3 linked regions of the Diceros bicornis minor genome follow. The protein of the gene in region 2 interacts with the protein of the main gene of each other region in a pairwise test. Links are inferred from orthologs where the notes say so. Each region holds a gene or a part of one and is shown on either strand. Other genes may lie near its edges.

The links.
Region 1: the proteins of RBPMS (region 2) and ZBTB32 interact in a two-hybrid assay, tested with the Homo sapiens proteins (3 studies listed by BioGRID). The two-hybrid records come from large-scale screens. The link is inferred for Diceros bicornis minor from reciprocal best matches to the Homo sapiens genes RBPMS and ZBTB32.
Region 3: the proteins of RBPMS (region 2) and RBM46 interact in a two-hybrid assay, tested with the Homo sapiens proteins (2 studies listed by BioGRID and IntAct). The two-hybrid records come from large-scale screens. The link is inferred for Diceros bicornis minor from reciprocal best matches to the Homo sapiens genes RBPMS and RBM46.

The regions. Positions count from the first base shown.
Region 1 is NC_080773.1:8,864,749-8,871,921, reverse strand, and holds the start of ZBTB32 (zinc finger and BTB domain-containing protein 32), read left to right. Parts: upstream 1-4,156; 5' UTR 4,157-4,337; intron 4,338-5,436; 5' UTR 5,437-5,535; coding exon 5,536-6,422; intron 6,423-6,620; coding exon 6,621-6,757; intron 6,758-6,867; coding exon 6,868-6,936; intron 6,937-7,062; coding exon 7,063-7,173. UniProt on the Homo sapiens protein: DNA-binding protein that binds to the to a 5'-TGTACAGTGT-3' core sequence. May function as a transcriptional transactivator and transcriptional repressor. Probably exerts its repressor effect by preventing GATA3 from binding to DNA.
Region 2 is NC_080768.1:28,063,467-28,071,076, reverse strand, and holds the start of RBPMS (RNA-binding protein with multiple splicing), read right to left. Parts: upstream 3,017-7,610; 5' UTR 2,400-3,016; coding exon 2,334-2,399; intron 1-2,333.
Region 3 is NC_080750.1:42,841,503-42,848,718, reverse strand, and holds the start of RBM46 (probable RNA-binding protein 46), read right to left. Parts: upstream 3,018-7,216; 5' UTR 2,953-3,017; intron 1-2,952. UniProt on the Homo sapiens protein: Essential for male and female fertility, playing a crucial role in regulating germ cell development by ensuring the proper progression of meiosis prophase I.

The DNA.
Region 1 (7,173 bases), on a different chromosome or scaffold from region 2:
GGGCAGGTGCATGGGAAAGATGGATGTTGTAGTGGAGCTCAGGAAGAGATGAGTGAGATATCTGCTCTTTAGGAAATCACCCAGGTTGACTTTACCGAAGATCTTTTTATATTCACGGGCCAGGGTGTGGATGTCTAATTTCACTCAGCTTTTCAAGCTCTACATGGTATTAAAGCTTTCGGAGTGCTTTTACATACACCCAGAGTTCTTAAACCAGGGGTGGGGGATGCAAGAGGATGGTCTATGAGTGGATTTCAAGGGTCTGTGAGCTCCTGGAAATCATATGAAAAACTGCATGCATGTTGGATTTTTTGGGGAATAGGGGGCAAAATTGGTCACACAGATAAGTGAGAAGGAGTATTTAACCTGTCCAAGGATGGGCTTCAGCGCAGTCTGTGAATGCCTTGTTATTCATATGCAAAATGGTACAAGAGTCGACAATTTTCTGATGTAAAGAGTTGATTCCATGGCTTACATTTTCAAAGGGATAGTGACCCCCTAATAGGTTAAGAATCATTGGAATAAAGCAGGCTCCGTGTTATTTATGGGGCTAGGGAAGACTATAAATAGAGATTCCCGTTTCTTCCCACACCTGGTGTTGGCGCACACTTCAAGGTGGCTCACATACTAGCCTGCAGGTCTAAGCTCAGTCTCCATGCCCCTCACATACAGTACCTCAGGCACACAGTCCACTCTCGTGAGTATAGACCAGGACCCTGGTAGGCCCTGGAAGTGGGCCATTTGGGCCAGGAGGTCCAGGGTTCCGAGTACCCAGAGCATGGTCTAGAACTGGGGGGCACAGGTTCCAGGTGAGCACTTCCTGGATGCCCTTGGACTTCTTAGCCAGAAGACATCAGAGTGGGGCCCTCTGCCTGGGTTTAAGGCAGTGCTGCTATTCAGTACTGTTCTTGAAAACAGCCCCTGTGAGGAAGTTGAGGGTCTTGGAAGAGTTAGCTCCATATTAGGGCTGAAGAAAAAGGCCATCCACTGTGAGGATGCAGTGGAACCTAAGTTTTTTGACTTCTAGTCTAGTTCTTTTTCCACTTAATCCACAAAAGGTGTGCTATTATAGGGTCTCTATAAACCTACATTCAGCTCACTTGGCTATGACTATATCTGGTTCTTGGGTTACACAGAACAGATTTAAGGGAAGAAGGAAACGAATTCACTCTGTGGTGTCTCTTCTCTGCTATGTGTTGGATGTAATTAACTAGAAAGAGTGAACATTTGAAAGTTTATGTAAGTTTGGATAATTGGTCTTTATATAAAATGCTGTAGGGGGCTTAAGCATCTTAATTTGTGAAAGAGATGTGTTCCTGGGAAGAGTGGAATGTTCCTAGAATTGTTCTAAATTGGATCTTGTTTAAACTTGGCTTTGGGGGTACTCAACATTTAAAATAAGTGAGATAGAGGGAACATTCTTCATAAAACAAATAATCATCCCTCTAATTGGCCTATTCTGATGGTTTAATTTTAATGATAATATTTAAAGGGAATCCATGCTTGTATTGCTGTGTTGATATTTTTACATCAAGCTGGGTTGTGCTTTAAGGAGCTTATAAGGCGCTTATGGTCAAGCCTATCAGTAAGAATAAAAAATATCAGATTTCAAGCTTTGCTTAGTAGTATGAGTATCAGAAAGAACTGAGAGGCAAAAATCATACCTCCTTTTCCCACATACTTCTCTTCCAATTATGTGCTACCTATTCTCTCCCACCCACTCTACCCTCTCCCAGGATGCAGGCTGTGTCCTCATAATCTGCGGTTTCCTGGCCCCACCCCAGGGAGACAGCTGCAGGTGATTCCCACTAAGTCAGCCTGGGAAGTAGAAGGTGGACAAGGTTTCTGAGACTGGGGAGGGGAGACCTTTCAAGAACAGAGACAGTCATGAGCCAGCCCTGATGGCCTAGCAGTTAAAGTTCCGCGTGCTCTGCTTAGGTGGCCCGAGTTCGGTTCCCGGGTGCTGAACCACACCACTCATCTGTCAGTAACCATGCTGTGGTGGCGGCTCACATAGAAGAACCAGAAGAACTTACAAGTATACACAACTATGTACTGGGGCTTTAGGGGGGAGAAAAAAGGAGGAAGATTGGCAACAGATGTTAGCAAAGGGTGAATATCACCCCCCCCCAAAAAAAGAATAGAAACAGTCAGCAGTGTCCCTATCTTTCCAAGTCAAAGTGCTATTTGCTTCTGCTTCTGCTGTGACTGCTCAGTGCAAGATGGCTTGGGCTATGCAGTCAAAAATGTAGGGAGAGAGAAGGGCCTAGAGTGTCATCAGCCCAAGGGCTGAGGTGTAGAGGCCCTAGAGATACCTCTATGGAGGCAGTCTCTAAAGGGATATCCTTAGACGGGGTAAACACCAAGTGGGAGGCAAGATGGGGTTTCCCATTCTTGGGGGCTTTTGTTCACTGAATGGGGAGTCCCCTTGCCCCTTCTCCTCCCTTTTAGGTTTCCTGAAAGCCCACTGACACTCTCTGTCAACTACATTTGGTTTACAGAGGATGCTGCCCTTTGAGCAGTCTCCAGTTCTCTTGATCAATGAGCAAACCACACCAGTGGGGGAGCTGAGTCACAGGCACATGATATAGGGCTGGGAGGTGAGGGGGACTACACTCCACTGGGTGATGATGTAATCTTCCAGACCCCTGTACCTTTTCTTCTATACTTGAGGTATCTCCCTCTTGGCTTTCCCCACTTCTTCCATATCTTCAAGGATTGTGTATTTCTGTGTTGGAGGAAGGATGTTTCCCTCTGTATACATACATATCAGGGATTGGTGCTTTTATGTGTCCAGGCCAAGTATCTTTTATATGGGTGTCTAATGAGTCCCTGGGTGTGGTGGTGTGAGGAATTAGAAAGCTCAGAAATGGAAAATATTTAACGTTCAGAGAAGCAAATGATTAAAGCTTGCCCATTTGCATTTTCCCTTTCACTCTGACTCATCTTCCCCTCTCCCCACCCTATTATTGCCCCTCCACCAGCCCCACCCATTGGCACACCCTGTCTGATCTAGGAAGGGTTAACTTCTGCCTGCACCCAAGCTAGAATGAGAGGTAGAGGGAAGGCATGTTAGGTCTGGAGGGAGAGAGTAGAAGGCTGGTCTGAACATTTTGGGGTCCTGGAGCCAAAGGGAGAAGCAGGAGTTTAGAGACATAATATTTGAGTCTAGGAGGGGACCAGAATCTAAGGGAGAAGCCTAGGGGGAGCCAGACCATGTCTCGTCATCAGAGCAGCCTACCCGTGCCTGACTTGTATATCTTCCAGTTATTTATTTGGCATATATGACATGCCAGGCACTTATCATGAGTGATTTATCAACACTTGTTGAATGAATGAAAAATTTGCCACAGGATGAGGGATAATGGAATAACAAGAAACAGAAAAAGAAATTTGAGTCTCTCAGACCTCATCCTTTCCCCAGGTTAAAGAGTGGTAAAGTGTGAAAAGAGGGGAAATCTCCAAGGACCTTGACCCCTTGGGCAGGAAGTGAAAGAAACCCTGGAGTCCTGATTTCAGAGAAATGTCATTTGTCATCAACTCAAGAAAAGGAGTTTTTCTCTTCGAAGACCACCGCAAGCCCTTCCTGGGGTTGCCCCCTTCAGCGCTTGATGGGAGGATCTGAGTCACTCACACATGCAGTCCCCAATGGTGGCCCAGATGACAGGGGTCATTCCCACATAGCTGTCAAGGCTTGGTAGTACTAAGTCAGGCATGCTTTCGGCCCTCCTTCACTCTCTTCTTGGAATCTAGATGCTTCAGTCCTTTTTACTTCTCAGGTAGTAGAAACAGCTTCCAGCTGCTAGAGCTCTAATGACACCTCTAAGAAACAGAACTAATACTATTTGAATGACGCTGTGTACTGATAAACCACTTTCACATTCATCATGTCATTTCATCCTCACTTCCACCTCCAAGTGAGGTAAGCAGAGGTTATCCCTATTTCATGGACGAGGTAACGGAGGCTCAGAGAGGTGACTTGCCCAAGGTGATTCAGCTAGAAAATGGTCGAGATGAAACTCAAGTGAGGTCTGATTAGTCCAAAGTTCTTGTTGCCTCAGTTACACTTCTTTGACTGGAGAAGTTCACAAATGAAATAAAGACAGGTCAGGAGGCAATGCCTGGATTCTGGAAGTAGAGGGGGTGGTCTCTCCTGGAGGGGTGAAGCAGAGCCGGGAGTATAAAACCACACCCCCTTGGGGGACTGTGGCAGACTGATACTTGGGACACCCAATGGAAGACTGTGAGGTCAGAGGCGGGGCTAGCTCCAGCGGGGGGGCCCCAGGAGCCCCAACAGCAGTTCAGAGCATGCGGTGTCCAGGAGGAAGCTACAACCGGTGAGTGGTTGCTTCTCCCCAGCTGAGACTTTCCTCCCTTACCCCCCTTTCTGTCCACTTCCTGCCAACCTGTAGCCCTCTTCCTGAGGTGTCCAAGTAGTAATCCTCCCTCCCAGAAGCGTCCTTACTCACAGTGCACCCACACCTAGGAATATGCCTGCTGGGCACAGAGACACTTGGGTCTGTCTCTTGGTAACTGGGTTCCCAGTTCTCTTCTTAAAAGCCAATGTGGTGGTTTTGATGTGTGATAAACTTCTGCCTCGTTAGCTGCTGTCTTTCTATTCTTCACTTTTGGCTCATGAAAAACAAAATTAAACCATCTCCTTATCCTAATATTGAGAGGAAATAGCCTCCTGCTCTACAGTTCCCATGTCCCTTTCTCCTGCTTCCTTGGCAGTCAAAGTCTTCTCCAAAACTTCTCTCCATCCTTAGGTCGGGAGCCTTCTCTCCTGTGGCTTCTGCACCTGCTCTCTTAACTCACTGGATGGGAGTCTTTGGTCTCTTCCAGCTCCTTCTCTGAGAATGTGTTCTAGAAGCTTCAGCCTCAGGGAGATGATCGATTGATGCCTTAGAGCCTGCCCTCCTGCAACTACGACCCTGTCTTGCTGCCCTTTCTGCCTCTCAGGACCCTCAGCTCCACGTGATGGGCTTGTGGGAAGAGGACACTACTAGCTTTCTAAACTCTCCCATGAAGCTGCGTCTTGCTCCAACCCTAGTTGCCTGGGCTGGGTTTTATGGTGATCTCTGTGTCTGGAATGAAGAAAGCCTGGCCTGCTCAGAGTTTTCCCTGCAGAGGGGCTTGGAGAAGAAGTATCAGCATCTGCTATCCTTTAAGTCAGAGACTGCCAATTGGCAGGACCCATTTATACTAGTCTTAAACCCACTACTTGATATAGTTGTTAACTGCCTTGTCCTTGCTCTTTAAGTCCTGAATTTGGTCTAATTTCCATTCTCCCACCACTCCCACCCCCAACCCTGGCCCCTGTTATGATTCTGGATAAGCTCAGGTCCTCTCTTGGGTTAGTTTATTTGCTCCATTCAGGACAGAGAGCTCTGATCCAGAACCAGCAACTCACTCACTCTCCCCTTCCCTCCACAGGCTTGAGAATATGCTGTTCCTCCCTCTCCTTTCTGCCACAGACCCCACACTGTGGCCTTTCTCTCAGAACCTCTGAGATTGGTACCCAGGCAAGGCACAATGCCCCTGTCCCCAACAAGACTGCCTAGCCCCTATGGCTCTGATCGCCTGGTACGGCTAGCAGCCAGGCTCCGGCCAGCACTATGTGATACCCTGATCACCGTGGGGAGCCAGGAGTTCCCTGCCCACAGCCTGGTGCTGGCAGGTGCAAGCCAGCAGCTGGGCCGCAGGGGCCGCTGGGCTCTGGTGAAAGGCATCAGCCCTTCCACCTTTGCCCAGCTTCTATACTTTGTTTATGGAGAGAGCGTAGAGCTTCAGCCTGGGGAACTGGAACCCCTTGAGGAGGCGGCCAGGGCCTTGGGGGTACAGTCCCTGGAAGAGGCGTGCAGAAGGGTTCGAAGGGACAGGGCTAGAGAAGAGCTGGGTCCGGGACTGAAGGAACATCAGGAGGAGCCAGAGAAACCCACAAAGGGTTCTGAGAGAGGAGTAGGGGCCCTTGGAGAGAAGCAGAGACCAGAGAAATTTGTTAGAGCTGGTGGGCGAGAACAGGAAACACTGCAGAAGCACAGGCCACCAAGAGAGAGCCCTGAGATGGCAGAGGCAACGAGGGAGGGCCAGGGAGTGCAGATGAGATTCAAGGAGAAACTCAACCAATTCCCTGTTGGCCATGGGGGAGTAGATGGGAAGCAAGAAGTGATCATGTGGGTGAGGGAGACTCCAGGGGGCTCTGAGGAAAGTCTGCAGGAGTTCCCTGGCCCCCTTCCCCCACCTGCTTCCCTCCAAACCAGCGTCACCCCTAGGCCCTGGTGGGCTGAGGCCCCTTGGTTAGGGGAGGGGCAGCCTGCCCTATGGAGCATCCTGCTGTTGCCGCCCAGATATGGCACCCCCTTCCCCCATAGCACCCCCATCACTGGAACCTGGCAGGAGGTCTGGCCTCAGGACGAGAGGTGAGTGAAGGGCCTCACGGAAGACCTCCCAAGCTGGGAAGGAGTGGCTCAGGAGAGGCAGCGGTGACGGGTGGAAGGGCACCATATCTCTTATCTCTACTGTACATTTCCTGAGCTGGGGACAGGACAAGAAGCTCCCACCAAAGGGGAAGACAGAGCCCAGTCCCTGAGGAGGACTCATGACACCTCCCTCCCCAGGAAGAGATTGGCCACAATCCCAGATTTTGCCAAGGCTGTAACTCTTCCCCACCCCACCCCCAGGATGCCACTGTCCCTAAACCTCCACAAAGGGCTCTGGAGCCAGAACCAAGTGGCCTCCTCCAGCCCAACCCCAGGTAAGCCCCTCACTGCCCTGCATGAACCCTATAATGTGGTCTCTCCCCTGGGGCTGGGGGTCCAGGAATCCAGCCTGAGCAGGGCCCCTACTTCACTCTGCTCCCTCCAGGTTCCCTCCACCAGGGCCCCGCACAGCTCAGCCCTGTGGAGATGGAAGAGTCTGATCAGAGGCACACAGGTGAGGAGGGTGAGGGAGCTTTTGCCTCAGCCCCAGTGTAGCCCCTGATGGCTTGCCTGGGTGTTGCAGTGAATCCAGCTCTGGGATTCCCAGCCCTGCCCTCTTTTGCTTTCTCCGTCCCCACAGGTGCACTTGCAACTTGTGTGGGTCATATGGGCACTGCAGGCCGCCCATCTTGCCAGCACCCCCCCCTGCCCCCTCCTGCTCGGTCCAGGCCCTATTCTTGTTCTGTCTGTG
Region 2 (7,610 bases):
AGAAAAAAGAGGTTAGGAGTTTTTCAAAAACAAAACATAAATCCCAAACAGGGAATTAGGACAAAATTACCTGGATCGGTCAGGCCAACGTACTTTCTTTTCCTGAATTTTTAACACTATAAATCCTCTCTCTTCACGGTTTATCTGTTTTGTACACTCCACCTCTTCTACAACTTACATTCTGAAATCTGTCCTCTTATTTTTAAAATAACAAGTGTCTTGCTAAAACTACTGATACTTCCTAGAGCCACACGCCATTCCCACCTGAAAAGGAACACTGTCAGGGCAACAGGGCAGGGAAGAGGCAGTGAACTGTCCTGAGATGGCCAGTGATTCTACTCGTACACAACCTCCCACATTAAGTTAAGGTCCCAGGAACAGAGCAGACAACACCTCCGACCTGGCAGCAGTCAGGCTGAGCTGAGTCAAGCAGAAAAAGATGACTTTTCTCCACTTACTTTTATCAAGTTAACTAAGTTATGGTTTTGGGACACTCAAACCTCTTTTACTACCTATCAAAAGAAAAAAAAAAGTCTTTGGTTTGCCTAATTAACTTTTCCATTTACAAGCTTTCTCAGTTGGGAGAACTGAGAAAAAAGATGATTTCATGCAATATATTCTTACCCTTAGAAAGAAAAATTGCCATTCTAAGTGAAATAGAAAGGTTTCTGAAGCAATTATTATCTTGGTGTGTTAAATAAATTTGTTAAATATAGCAACTCCTTAAAAAAGCAAACTTGTCATCATTTTTTAAGTTTTATTTCAGTGGTAGGGAAAATAAATAGCAAAGCAACCAGTAAGGTTCAAGAAAAAAGTGGAACTTGCAATTCAAGTGTCCATCTCTTTGAAAAACAAAAAAATGTCAGTGGTATTCCTTCACTTGTAGTTAAAAAACCATTCGCATGTAAACAACACTTTTCAAAATAATAGTTTATAATAAAATGGGCAATTTCTTCAGGTGAAAAGGCAATTTTCTGTTTACTGCAATTCACCTAGGTTGCACTACCACAAAACTGTGTTAAGAGGAAAATCTTGTTATTTATTTTGCATTGTTTTGCATAGTCTTTGCTCTCTCCTCTATCTTCCCCATTTACATAGTTCCCATTTTACAAGTGGACAACATGCTGAGAGCTTATATGCATTAATTAAATCCTCTGCAAGGTTTGCTTTCGCTATCTGAATATTAGTTTGCACACAATATCTCAATAATAATCTCAACATCCTAACAGCTTCAGAATCAGTTTATCATTCTGTTAACCTTATACACGAGGATGCAGTACCTGTAAGAATGCTTTATAGGTCACATCTGGATGCATACTTTCTTGCATCCACACACTCTCAAGTTTCTTTTAGAATGTTTAAGAACTCAGCTAGTGTGGAATCTTAAAAAGTGGGCGAAAAGTATTGTTTCTTGGACTCCATATAACGTACCTGCAGGAACAGAGCCATTTAATAGGATACCACAAAATATCCTAACTACAAAATCCTGAAACGTTTGTTCAGGAGTTCTCCCCTACATTTACTGAATTTTGTTTTTCTACCAAAGGAACAATCCACAGCCGCAACATTTTTACCGCAATTACGGACGCACCACATTAAATTTACGCTCAGAAGTCAAAGTCCTATTAAATAGTCTCGATGATCATTTGTAAGGGGTAACTGTAAGTTTTAAACTTTTATTCTGCTCCCCACAACCGCATCGCCCCTAAATTTACAAAACCTAAATTACCCAGGTTCGGGGTCTTTGACTCATCAGAGAAGAATGCGGCTGATTAGTTATCTATTAATCCAAAATGCCTCAACTGGAAAGACATTTCACCAAGAACTTTTAACACCGAAAGGGAGGGGGCAGGGAAGAAAAGGTGTCTCTTAACGAGAACTTTCCCCTAGTTTCTTCCTTAAACTACACAAACACCAACGCACCCCACGACTTCCAGCCCTAGACGCAGAACTAAGTCCTGACCCTCCGGGTCCCAATAATCTGAGGTCACCCAGGAGTCAGCTCTCGATTCCGCTTTTAAAATTCCAGGCAAACAAAGCTGAGCGTTCTACTTACAAAACTCTCCGAAAAGTCTTCCAAGTTACGCAATTTTAGGCACGCAGACGCGCGTGGACCCACAAAAACACCCTCCCCGGAGATACACCCTCCGGGGCCACAGTTTAGGGCTCTGTCTCGGGGCAAGGACCTGCCCAGACCCTCGGCTGCGGCGCCCCCTCCCCGGCGCGCAGCCGGGCGCCCCGGGACCGGCTCTCCCGCCGGCCCCCGCACTCTGGAGAAAGCCCGCGGCTTCCGTCCCCGGTCGTCCCCGCCACCGCACCGAGCCACTCAGTACCTCTTCCTCCTGAAGGTTGGCCTCGTTCGGGGTGTTCTCCTTCTCGGCTTTGCCGCCGTTGTTCATCTTCCCGGTCCTTCCTCGCCGGGCAGGGCTGGGGCGCGGGGCTGGGCGAGGCGCGCTCGCCCACTTTTCCCTCCCCGGGCGCCGGGGCTCCCTCGGCGGGCGCCGCGGGCTACGGGGGCTGCAGCCGGGGCAGCGGCGGCTCGGGCTCGGGCTCCCGCGGCGCGGCGAGACGGCGGCGGCGGCGGCGGGCGACTCAGGAAGTGCGAGGGAGAGAGACGGGGCAGGGCGAGGCGGGCGCGGGCGGACCGAGAAGGGGACGGAGACAATCGGGACCCGGGAGGGAGACCTGGAGAGGGAGGGCGGGCGCGAGGGAAGGAAGGAAGCAGGAAAGGATGGGGCGAGGACGCGCGTCCCGGGACTGAGCCCGGAGAGTTGGGGATGTGGCCGAGTAGGGGCCGGGGGCGGCTGCTGCCCGAGCGTAGCTGGAGGGAGGGGGCGAGGGGTGCCGGGAGAGGAGGAGGAGGCGGAGGAGGAGGAGGAGGTGCGGGGCAGCGGGGCGCGGGCCGCGGCTGGGACGCTGGGACCCGGAGAGCCGCTGAGTGCGCGCTCCTGGCAGGCTCTGGGAAGTACGGGATCCAAGCAGCTCCCTTTCTCTCGCCTTCCTCCCTCCCCTCTCTCCTCCCTCTCCTCCTCCTCCTCCCTCCGCCCTCCCTGGACGTGGGCTGCAGGCTCTCGCCGAGGGACGGGACGCGGGACGGCGAAGCCCCCCGCGGGAGGAGGGGCCGCGCCGAGGGCGGCTGCCCCGCGGCCGGATGGCGCGCGCCGGGGAGGGGCGGCGGGCCGCGGGCGGAAGCCGCCGACCCTGGCCCCGGACTCGGCGGTAGGTCGGAGGGCGGGGGCCGGGCAGGGGGAGGGAAGGAGGTCAGGTCCTCCGGCTCGCTGGGCCCCTGGGGGCCGAGTTGGACAACTCGCGTGGCGGTGCGCGCGAGCCGGGAGAGGGGCTTCGGAGAGCCGGGCCCCGCCAGCGCGACCACCGGGACGTGTGATGTGCTACTTTTGTTTGCCTGCTTTTCACGAGGGATTTGCACCCCCATCCCTAAGCCTACCTCTCCTTTTCTGTACCGCTTTAGACCCATTTCTTCCCTTCCTAGTGGGCAACTTGAAATGACAGGATGGCGAGAACTCGGTGACGTCCGGGGGCAGCCAGCTCCGGGCCGGCGTTTTCAGGGCACAGCATCAAACCCACCTCGAACGCCGGGTCCTCCGAAACCTCTCCAGCCTCCCCACCGGCCGGCTGTGGCTCTCCGCTAGGCTTCCCGTGGCGCCCGTTCAGACTCCTCTCACAGCCCGTATCAAACTGTTCTGGAGTTATTTGTTGACCTGGCTGTCTTCCTCACTTTTCTGGGAGATCCTTCCTGGAAGACAAGACCGTGCCCTGTTTATCTTTTTAATCCCACGGCTTTTTAAATACGCTACCTGGTATATAGTAGGCACTCAATAAATATCTGTTGGGTAAGGGAATATTCGTCACTGCAAGCCGAACTGGAGGCCAATACAGGTGATCTTCAGAGGGTCAAAGCATCTTAGAGGAGAAGGGGGTCTCAGCTGACCTCTGGGAGGTCAGCGCACAACACTCGTTTATGCACCAACCTCGGAAGGAGTGCATGGTTTCCGTTTCCTCACCTGTGGAATGGGAGTAGTTCTATTTATCTCCAGGGGTTTGCTATTAGAGGAGATTATAGGTTGATAGCGCTATAGCACCTAGCACCCATTCTTGCCCAGTTTAAGGTTACAATACTTGGAGGCTAACATTTTTATTAAGGAAATTTTCCTGAGCCGTAGAGAGCTTTTCCAGGACTGTATCATTTAAGCTTTCCAATATGACTGGTACAAACATAAATTTGAAACTCTGTACATCAGTAGGTTCTTCCTCACTTCCCACTCGTAGGAATTCTGTCACAGCATGCTGTTCCTTTCCCGCACAGCACCAGTCACAATTTCTATTTATTTATTTGCTTGCTTCACTATTTGTCTCTTCCCCCCCTCCCCCCACTAGACATTCTTTACCCTATACTGGTTTAAGTGCTGCTGGAAATGGGGTGGGGGTGGAGGTGGGCATTGAAGATAAGGCCCCTGCTTTTAGGGAGTTTAAAGTGGTGTGGAGACAGGATACCCAAAACAGCTCCAGGGCAACATAATCGCAGATCCTGGCTCAAATTGTGGAAAGCAAAGAAAATATTTGCTTTAAGAGCATTGTGAAGAGAAAATCAGTTAGTGATATGTAGATTTACATGTTGAGTTTTTCAGGGGGGGGGTCTGAAGATTTTGATAAAGAGCTTTAATTGCTGTCATGATGTCATTTCTTTCTATGGGAAAAAAAAAAAAAGATGTATCCTGGATGAAAATAAACCAAGAGTCTATTGAAATTGCGATTGAAGTTCAGAAGAGGTGAGGGCTACAATTAATCCGGAAACTTGGACAACCCTTTCCACTGCCAGGTCCTCCCTCAGTTATATGAGGAACCACGAGGGGGCAATGTCTTCTTGAGCAGTGGCTGAGTGGTGGTCTTGGGCCCCTACACTGACCAGTAATGCCAGCACTTTGCCCTCCTTGGCCATTCTTGCCTGTTCCTGAAGACACTCCACAGAAAGGCATTGTCTTGCTGGAGCCTGGCCAAGGCCCAAGAAAAGTGACAATTGATCTAGTCATTGATGGTTCCAGTCAGACTCCACTCATGAGTAGGTGGGAGATGTTGTGTGATTCCAGGGTAGCGAGAGAACCTCCCCTACCCCCACCCAGGGAAATGTGGCTTAATCCCAAAGGTAGGACCTGATTCCTTTGTCTTTAAGCCAAGCTGGCACTGTGTCCTTGTTAAAAGTCAAAAACCCCTGGGATAAAAAATGAGAATAAATTCCATGAGAGGATCCTTGTCTAGTTTGTTCATTGTGTTCCCAACATCTAGACAGTGCCTAATGCACAGTTGGCACTCGATAATTGTGAGTGAATGAATCCACTGAGTCTTATCAGTTATTTATTCTTGGGCTTGAATGACATTATCAGATCCTTCCAAGACCCTGCAGGAGGGACTGAATTAGTAGAGGCATCTTAGTGTGGAGAGCCACCACAGGGGCACTAGGCAGATTCATGGTAGTGGTCTTTAGTCATTATTTTGCAGGGGGGAGACCCTAGATAGAGAGCTTGCACAGAATGGGGCTACATCAGGTAGCTGATGATAAAGCAGGGAAACCTAGAACATATAGTCAGTGGCAAGCTTGAAATTCAGGGTGTTTTCAGAAAAGTGTATGGGGCTGGGGTAATACACCAGGAAAAGAAGGACTCCTATTTTGTCCTTTCCATGAAGAATGGTTTAGACTTATTTGGAAGAACAATAAAGTCATGTTGCCAACAAAACTCAATGAAAATCTGTACATAGACTTTAGCTATTTATAAAACTTTGTGAGTGAGGGGAAAGAGTTTGACTGTGTTGGGGGTGGGGGGAGTGTACATTCATTCAGGTTGTAATGATCTTTATGACCTGTTTACTACTTCAGAGAAAGAAAGTTTCAAAAGTGAGATCTCAGTAGCAATCGTTTTCAGGCCTACTAAGAGTTATAAAACAACAAAGGGATTTTATGTCCTAGAAAAATAGGGCTAATGACCAAGAAATCTGCTTCCTCCCCTGCCCACCATTTTGCCACATTGCTTCTGGCTTATCAGGTTACATGCTAGGTTGAAAGGGAAATATTGTCTGCACGTGTAGTTTTCCTTATTCATCTCTGTTCCTCTGGCAGTGTTCATTTTGAGGCTTGCTTTGAGAAATACAAACCTACAATTATGTCTTAAATGTTTGTCTCTGGGAAGTGCAGGCATTAAAGGTCTATTCTGAGGCAATTTGCATGGCTTGTGCTCTGTACCTATGTTAGCACTGAGGCAGAAAGCTGCAGTATCTACCACGTGTTGTGATTGTTAACTCTTCTACATCCTCTGCTGGACCGAAAAAGTTCTTGAGGCCAGAGGCTGTGTTTTATTAGTCTTTGTTATCCTTAGCACTTCTCACTCCCTCACCCCACTCCCACCCACCTCCAGGCCATCACCATCTTCTCCTGATTTTATTTATTAATTTTTAACTGTGGCTAAAAAACACACAACATAGTATTTACCGTCTTAACCACTTTTAAGTGTGCAGTGCAGTAGTGTGAAGTATATTCACATTGTTATGCAACGTCCTCCTGATTTTTACCTCCTAAATAGTTCTGAGATTCAATCACTTCCCTCCAATCATTTGTGGAAGCCCACACAGCCACATGGAGAGGCCCATGTGGAAGAGAATTAAGTCCCCGGCTTACGGCCCCAGCTGAGCTCTCAGTGGACAGCCGGTACCAATTGCCAGCCTTGTGAATGAGTTTTCTTGGAAGTGGATACCCGAGCTCTAGTTGAGCTGCCCTAGCTGACACCACATGGAAGAGAGATGAGCTGTCTTCACTGAGTGGCGCCCAAATGGCAAAATTGTTAGCATAAAAGTGAATGCTGTTGTTTTAAGGCACTCAGTTTTAGGGTGGTGTGTTATACAGCCATAGATAACTGAAACATAATTACGTGCCAAGAAGTGTGGTCCTGCTGTCACAGAAACCTAAAACATATGGCAGTGGCTTTGGGATCAGGTAGAGGATGGAAACTGGAGGAACTTTGAGGAGTCTGTGAATGAAGAGCATTATGAAAGGACAGTGCGAGTGTTGTTATTGCAGGCTGGAGAAAACGGGACCCCATTTATGTATTGGAAGAACAATGAGCTAAACTAGCCTGCTGTTCCATGAAAGATAGAAAAGATGCCTAATGAACATGCGCATCTGGCTAAGGAGATTTTTGGATACAATGTTGAAAGAGTTGAGTGGTTTCTTTTAGATGCTTATGGTATAGTACGAGACAAGTGAGATGAGCTAAAAAAAAAAAAAAATGAACTGTTCTGTTTTCAATCAGAATTTAGAGGAAACATAAAGAAGCCAGGACTTGCTGGATTTGAAATAAAACTATTGCTCATTTCTAGCTTCTCCAGAGGAAAAACTCTCAAATTAAGAAATGGCTTAGGGGCAAGGGTCAAATCCAGGATGCCTTAGGCCTGGATGCCTAAATATGGCCTTAGGTAAAGTTCAAGGCAAGGGTGTAGCTAGAAAACCCTGTGGTAGGCAGCCTCTACGATGGCCTTCATGATTCCTACCTCCTGGTATTCAAGCCTTTGTATAATCCCCTCCCCTTGAATGTAGGATAGACCTA
Region 3 (7,216 bases), on a different chromosome or scaffold from region 2:
AACCATCTTAATAAGCTAAAAAAAATATAAATTTTCAAATTTGTACTGCTCTTTCAAAATAATATATGAAAAAAATGACAAGCACAATTTTAGCAAAATATAAATGAAAATTAATCATTTATCTAAAGGAGTTTGTGTCAGCTGTGTTCAAACTACTTAAATTGAAACTATCTTCTGAATTACTGGAAAAATTTATGAAGTTCTGAAAATGAACATTTTATTAGTTTTACTACACTTTTTAAAAACTAAACAGTGAAAACACATTAATTTTTAAGGTATCAGAATACTTTATAGAAAGCACATTAGATCTTTATAGCATTCCTTAAATGACATGTATTAAAGTCCTGATTTGTTAGTTCAGCTGTTATCCAGTATAGTGCACTGAGACATGGTTGCCAGGGTAACGGAGGTTTTTTTACTGGTAACTCATTTTAATGACAGCACTACAGCGACATGGTTGGAAAATGAGACGGATTAATCAAAAGTATATGGATATATAAGTCTAACATTATTTCAAAATAAAAGAGTATAGATGGGTCAGTTCAATTTCATTTTAAATTATTTTTATTAAAGAATGAGAGCTCATTTTTTTCCTAGAAGTTAAAATATATAATGCATAAGAAGTTTTATTTTAGTATTAGGTATTTCACAACCTGTAGTAATACTGTGGAGGGAAAGTTCAAATTTAGAGACTTAAAAACTTGAACTATTTAAAAAAATAATTGTAAGTAAGTTTTTTTAAATATTGCTTTGAACACAAAAGTGTAACACATTCTTAGAACTTAGGATAAAGATATCTACAACAGAACCAAAATTCTTGTACACTACCACCAAATAGTACACTATTCCTTACATAAGGTCTTCTATAACCTGTCATGTGAAATCTGTGACAATTTGAACATAAAGATCACATTTTCTTCCCTCATTTTCTTGCTTCACCAACCGTCAGGTAGTAAAATAAAATGGGAAACAACACTCAGCATTTATATGCAAATCTGGACAGATTTTACACCAATTATTTGATTTCTAGTCACAAACCCTCCTTAAACCCACATGTCTAAGTTTCCTAACAACAAAAATGCCACCATTAAAAACATGAGGCTTAATTTCAGTCCACAAATTAGGCTTATTCTTGTTGTTGATAATTCTTACTCCATAATATATCCAGTAATATGCATGATTATATTTCAACTGTTCACATGTATTATACTTTGGCAATTATGTTCAAGTCCAATACTCCACCCTCTTAAGTGAAAATCAGCAACTAAAGCAATGCCTTAAGCAGAAAGTAAGGCATTGCTAATATTTAGTAATTGCAGCACTAATAGTCCTTCTTATGTCTATAACAGCACATAGTTGCACACAAAATAATTTTATTTATTTATTTTTCTGAGGAAGATTGGCCCTCAGCTAACATCGTGCCCATCTTCCTCCACTTTATATGGGACGCTGCCACAGCATGGCTCAAGCAGTGTGGCGGTGCGTGCCTGGGGTCTGAACCAGCCAACCACTGGGCCACCGCAGCAGAGCGCGCACACTTAACCGCTTGCACCACCAGGCCCAACCCCAAAACAATTTTAAAATAGAATGTTTTAAATGTGTACCCTGGAAAGGAGTCTATCATTAGAGCCCATAAGGAGCTTTAATTCTGAAAGGCTCCAAATGGAAGTTTGGCCAACTCAACTATACACTGTAGTGATTCTTAAACGAAAATATCTTCCTTTATTTAAAAGAAGCAAAATTCTACCGACAGATGAATATGTTATTTATATGTTAGTCTTCTTATACAGGTAATACATCCTGCTTCCTGGTTCTAACACCATCCTCAAACACAAAGTGGGACGGATTTGTAAGAGAAGCCACGTCTTAGAAAGCTCCTGCTGATACTCCCTCTACGATAGTGGCCTATTTTAGAATCACCATATATTATAAAGGCTATAACGTTATTTATCAAGACTGTAAAGAGAGCTTAAAGAAACTTCAACATTAGCTAAATTAAATACACATATGAGGAAACCGGTGCCCAAATACATCAAGGGGCTTCACAAGGATCTCAGTTAATATCGACGCCAGGATTAAATCTGAGGTCTCCTGACCCCAGGTTCAGCGGTCTTTCCAGCGCCCCAAAGAAAATGTTTTAAAAGTTAGTAATTAAAACTAGCTGATGTTAGGAAACAAAGATAGGACCCTCGCGTGTATTACCATCCATGGCTGCCCGTCCCGTGTCGCGGGTGCGAGGGGTCAGTTATCTTTCCCGCACACTCGCAGCCTTCCGCCGTTCAAACCGGACACGCGAGAGAGCACTTGGGAAGAAACAAGAGTCAAAAGCAGAGGACAGAGGAAACTTCGAGGCTCATCCTATTAGAACTCAATGCAAACCACGACGTGATTGCCAAATCTCACCCGGCAGTCGGGACGCCCGGACGCCGTCCCAAAGCCTCTGGAGCGGACGCGCCGGCGCGACAACGGCCGGCCGGGAGGGACGGCGGGCGGCCTTCAGCTGTGGCGGTCGCCGGAGGAAAAGAGTTAGGGGGAGAACATGGAGGGCAGCAGGTGGGAAGCGTCCGGAAGGCGGCGGGGGAGAGCGGAAACGAGGCGGAGAGAGGGCAGGGCGCCCCGGGGCGGAAGGAGCCACCGAGGGGCCCCGACGAGACGGGGAGGTGGGGACAGACGGCGGGACCACGCGGCGCGAGGGGGGCGGCAGGAGCTGTCCGGTCGAAAGATGCCCCGTGAGGCTGGGCAGCCGCGCCTGTGACACCTGCCCGCCCGCAGCTCGACGGGGCTGGGGAAGGAGGAGCGCGAACGCGCGGACACCGCCTCCAGCGGGCGTGGGTCCTCGCTGCGGATTTGGCGTGAGAGTGAGTCGACGAGGCTTTTCGCGGCCAGGAGGCAAGGTCTCCAACCGTTACCAGCGGTTTGGCAGTGACCCCGCTGCCCCCAACCCCTCCTCACCCCTTCGGGTCTTCAAATGTTGGTCCTAAATCCCTGGGACCAACGACCACAAACCGCCGCCACCGTTTCGGGGACCAGTCCGTCGGAGCGGGGACGCCGCAGGGGGGAGGGGAGCGCACGGGGAACAGCTCGCGCCGTCCTCGCGCCTGGGCTCGGCTCCCAGGGGGCGCCGCGCGCGGTGGCCTAGCAGCCCCACGAGGAGTGGCGCCTCGACCAATCAGTGACCGGCCGCGGGGAGGAGCGAGAGGGGAGTGGGCGGGATCAAGGTTTAAATCTGAAGGAGGCTCTTGGGAGGGGAGTAAAAGTACTTGGAGTGACTGACACTTTAGCCAATTGGGGCGAGAGAGCGGTTTTAGGGGGTGGGTGGACCGGGAGCGATACCAAAACGAAATCCTGCGTGTTTTGTTAAGGGGTGTAAACGCAAGGGCTGTGGTTTGAACTTCCGTACTTCTCTTACTTGGGGAAAATGTAGATGCGTTGTAAGGATCTTTCCCTCGTTTAACGGAGTTTTCAACTCTTAACTGCTAGTTTGACCCCGTATACTAACTATGGACCTTTCTTTAATAAGGACTTGGGAGGTGGAGGGTGGGAAGGTATATGGCTAAGAAATGGATTTGCAAATAGGACTAGACAAATAAAGGTTAAATGGTTTAAATGCCTAGGAGAATGGGCTGAATCGAGAGACCTAATAATAGGCCTGACTTGACCACTAATCAGTTTGAGGAGAGATTTGTAGGTGTTGGAGCTGAAGAACCGGGTTCTATGCTTGTGTAAAACAAATTTTCACGGATACGGCTGTGTGGCATTTTGCATACATACGCTGAGTTTTGCTTTCTATAAAAATAGAGCTTGGGTTGAAATGGCAGACAAAGAAAGAAAAAAATTAGCTTTTGGAACCAGCTTTGTAGATTCATAGACCCGTAGAATATTGGAACTGGAAAGATCGTGTAGTTTCTCCCTTAACAAACCGGAAACTTGACGTCGTGAATAATCTACCTAATGCAGGTCCCCTACTTCCCAACCTCAGGGCTCTGCTTTCTTCCATACTAACTCGTGATATCAGTTCGTTGTCTCCATATGTTCAAGGTACTAATGAATGTCTTAAATTTTCTTTATTAATAAATCAACTCTGGGCGCCAGCCCCCGTGGCATAGCGGGTAAGTTGGTGTGCAGCTGCTGGAAGCCTGGGTTCGGATCCTGGTGGCCGACCGACGCACCGTTTGTCAGGCCATGCTGTGGCCGCATCCCACTTAAAGTGGAGGAAGATGGGCATGGATGTTAGCTCAGGGCCAGTCTTCCTCAGCAAAAAGAGGAGGATTGGCATGGATGTTAGCTCAGGGCTGATCTTCCTCACAAAAAAATAAATAAATCAACTCTGTGTGTGTATACATAAATATATATAACATATATATATACACACACACACACTCCAACAGTGGGGAATTAGCAAGGACTTTGGAGTCAGACAGATCTGTGCTCAAATCCCCATGTCACCATTTTGTGGTGTGACACCTTGAGCAAATTGCTTAATTTCTCTGAGCTCCAGTTTAAAATGGGGATTGTGGGAATTAAATAATAAATAGTAATGTTAACAAATGCTGAGCCCTTTTGTGTGCCAGAAACAATTCTAAGGTATTTTCATGTATTAGTTCACATAATTCTCACAGTAACTTTGTCAAAGGTATTAGCCCATGGAGCCCCATGTTATAGATTGGGAAACCGAGGCACAGAGAGCTTAAGTATTTTGCTCAAGGTCATACAGCAAGTAAGTTGCCCAGTTTAGCTCTACACCCTGCAGACATAACCACTATGCTATACTGTCTCAAAATGTGTCCAGAAGCAAGTGGCATAATACCCAATGCACAGTGGAAGCTCAACAAAGATTCTTTCCTAAACTCCCTGCCCTTCAGTCAGTTAATGAATACCAATCTCATTTATATAGGCTGCATACCTGCAAAATAAAGCAACTAGAAAATTTAGACTGATAGAATGTACATCTGGTAACCCCCCTTTTCCTTGGGGGATATGTTCTGAGACCCCCCAGTAGATGCCTGAAACCACAGATAGTAACAAACTCTATATATACTTAATTTATAAATTAGGCACAGTAAGAGATTAACAATGATAACAAATAATAAAATAGAACGATTATAGTAATAGACTGTAATAAAAGTCATGTGAATGTGGTCTCTCTCTCTCAAAATATCTTATTGTACTGTACTCACCCTTCTTCTTCTTGTGATGCTGTGAGATGATACAATGGCTATGGCATGAGACGAAGTAAGGTGAATAACGTAGGCATTGTGACCTGGCGTTAGGCTACTATTGACCTTTTGACCATACTTCAGAAAGAGGATCATCTGCTTCCAGACAGAGGTTGACCCTGGGTAACTGAAACCTTGGAAAGTGAAACCACAGATAAGAGGGGATGACGGTACATACTTGGTATTTTTGACATGTCAATTTTCTACCTGTATCATATTGATTACTATTAGTGGCTGCTCTTTTATTTCTCCGGAAAAAGATTCCCCACATTTCTTTATTTTCGTGTTGGTGCTGTCTCAATTGTCAGTAATTAATTCTAAATACACGTGTTTAAGATTAAACTAGCTGAAATTGTGTTAGACGTGTTAGTCTGAAAAATTCAAACAACTAAACAATTTCTAGGAGTTGCTGTAGGATTCTTAACACATCACTAGGTGGAGATGTTATCTTGTGAGGTGCGAAAGATAGTTCGTGGAAGTAGTCCGAAGGGCTGTTTTACATTTCTAGGTTTTTTCCTACCCCAAGTAGAAAGAAAACCAGATAGACAAAGGCTTCTCAATAGGCATTAGAGTCGGGCCATAGACCCTTGCTTTAGATGAAGGCAGTGTTATGTAAAGACCCTTCCAGTATTTACATTGTATGTCCTTTTGGTCAGATTCCCTCTAAATCTTTTTTATCCAAAGTCTATTAATAGGTGTATTTTTCAAATGCTATGAAAACTATGTTCTCTGCGTGTAAAATTAAAGGAATGGCCTTTAACTTTATTTCTTAAGGCTCTTAGAACAGAAGATCTAAAACATCTTTACCAGCTAGAATTCTTTTTCAGGAATGTATCCCAAATTAGTGTTTGCTATAAATTTATTTGCAAGTTTATGGGAAAAGGTGGTCCAAATGAATAGGAAGAATGAAGTTAAGTGATATAGAGATGTTTTTGGCTAAAAAGAAGCCAAAAGTGGAAAATACTTGTTAGTAAGGGAGAGTTAGCTCCCTTCTGGGGAGCTCTGCAAACACCAGGAAGATAAATAATACTGACCTTGGGACGTAGGAAGAAAACGTTGTCAATAAAAATTGGAAGGGATATATAGTTTGGATACCATGTAAATGTGTTTTTTCCCATATGAAATGCCAGCTTTTTGGAATAAAGTTATCTTCACATACCTTCTGTAAAATATAAATCCCCAAAAGGAAAGAAAAGCAATAAGTCCATGTAAATGTTTAAAATCCAATTTAGTCGTAATAAAAGAAACGAAAGGTGAATAGTTTCATATAAAAGAGGATTGTGTGGTATTCTGGTTTGTTTTCAATGTGTTGGAGCTTCCTCCCTCCATGTCTGGCAGTGATGACACAGATCCATCCACGGAAAACATGATAACTACTTGCATGTGTATAGAATTAGTGGTCTACAGGACACAGCTTGGGACCTAAGGACCCTCCTTTAATCTGGTGACTCTCCAATCTAAATGATATCTCAAAACTCTTTCAGAAGTATGGGAGTAGGGATGCCTGTTTCATGCTTATAGTAAATATGTTTATTCCAATTCACAGACCCTGGTTTGATGCTTTCTGCCTGACATATTAATTTGAACTTTTCGTGACTCTGGGATATGAGTGTCAGCACCAAGATTATAAGGTAGGATAGGTGCTTTTTCCAGTTGTGGTGCTAAGTTACCCTGAACCATCTTTACATCCAGTCATTGTACCTCCCCTGATTAACAACCTATCTTTCTAAGACAACAAATCAGAAATAGAGATCTTTGTACATAATTTAATTGTCGACACAGGCACCAAACCCATATATAAGGTCTCAGTTAACATAGGTGCTAAGTAAAGGAAGTAGTAATCAAGTGAACCGTTGCTGATTGATATTAGTCATTAGTTAACATCAAGATCCAGTCATCCAATTTTTTTTTTCTTTAAATCAACTACAACATTAGAAATAGTGTTAGGCAATGCCAGGAAATTAATCTTTCTCCTCTGAGGGATATAGACTTAACTCACA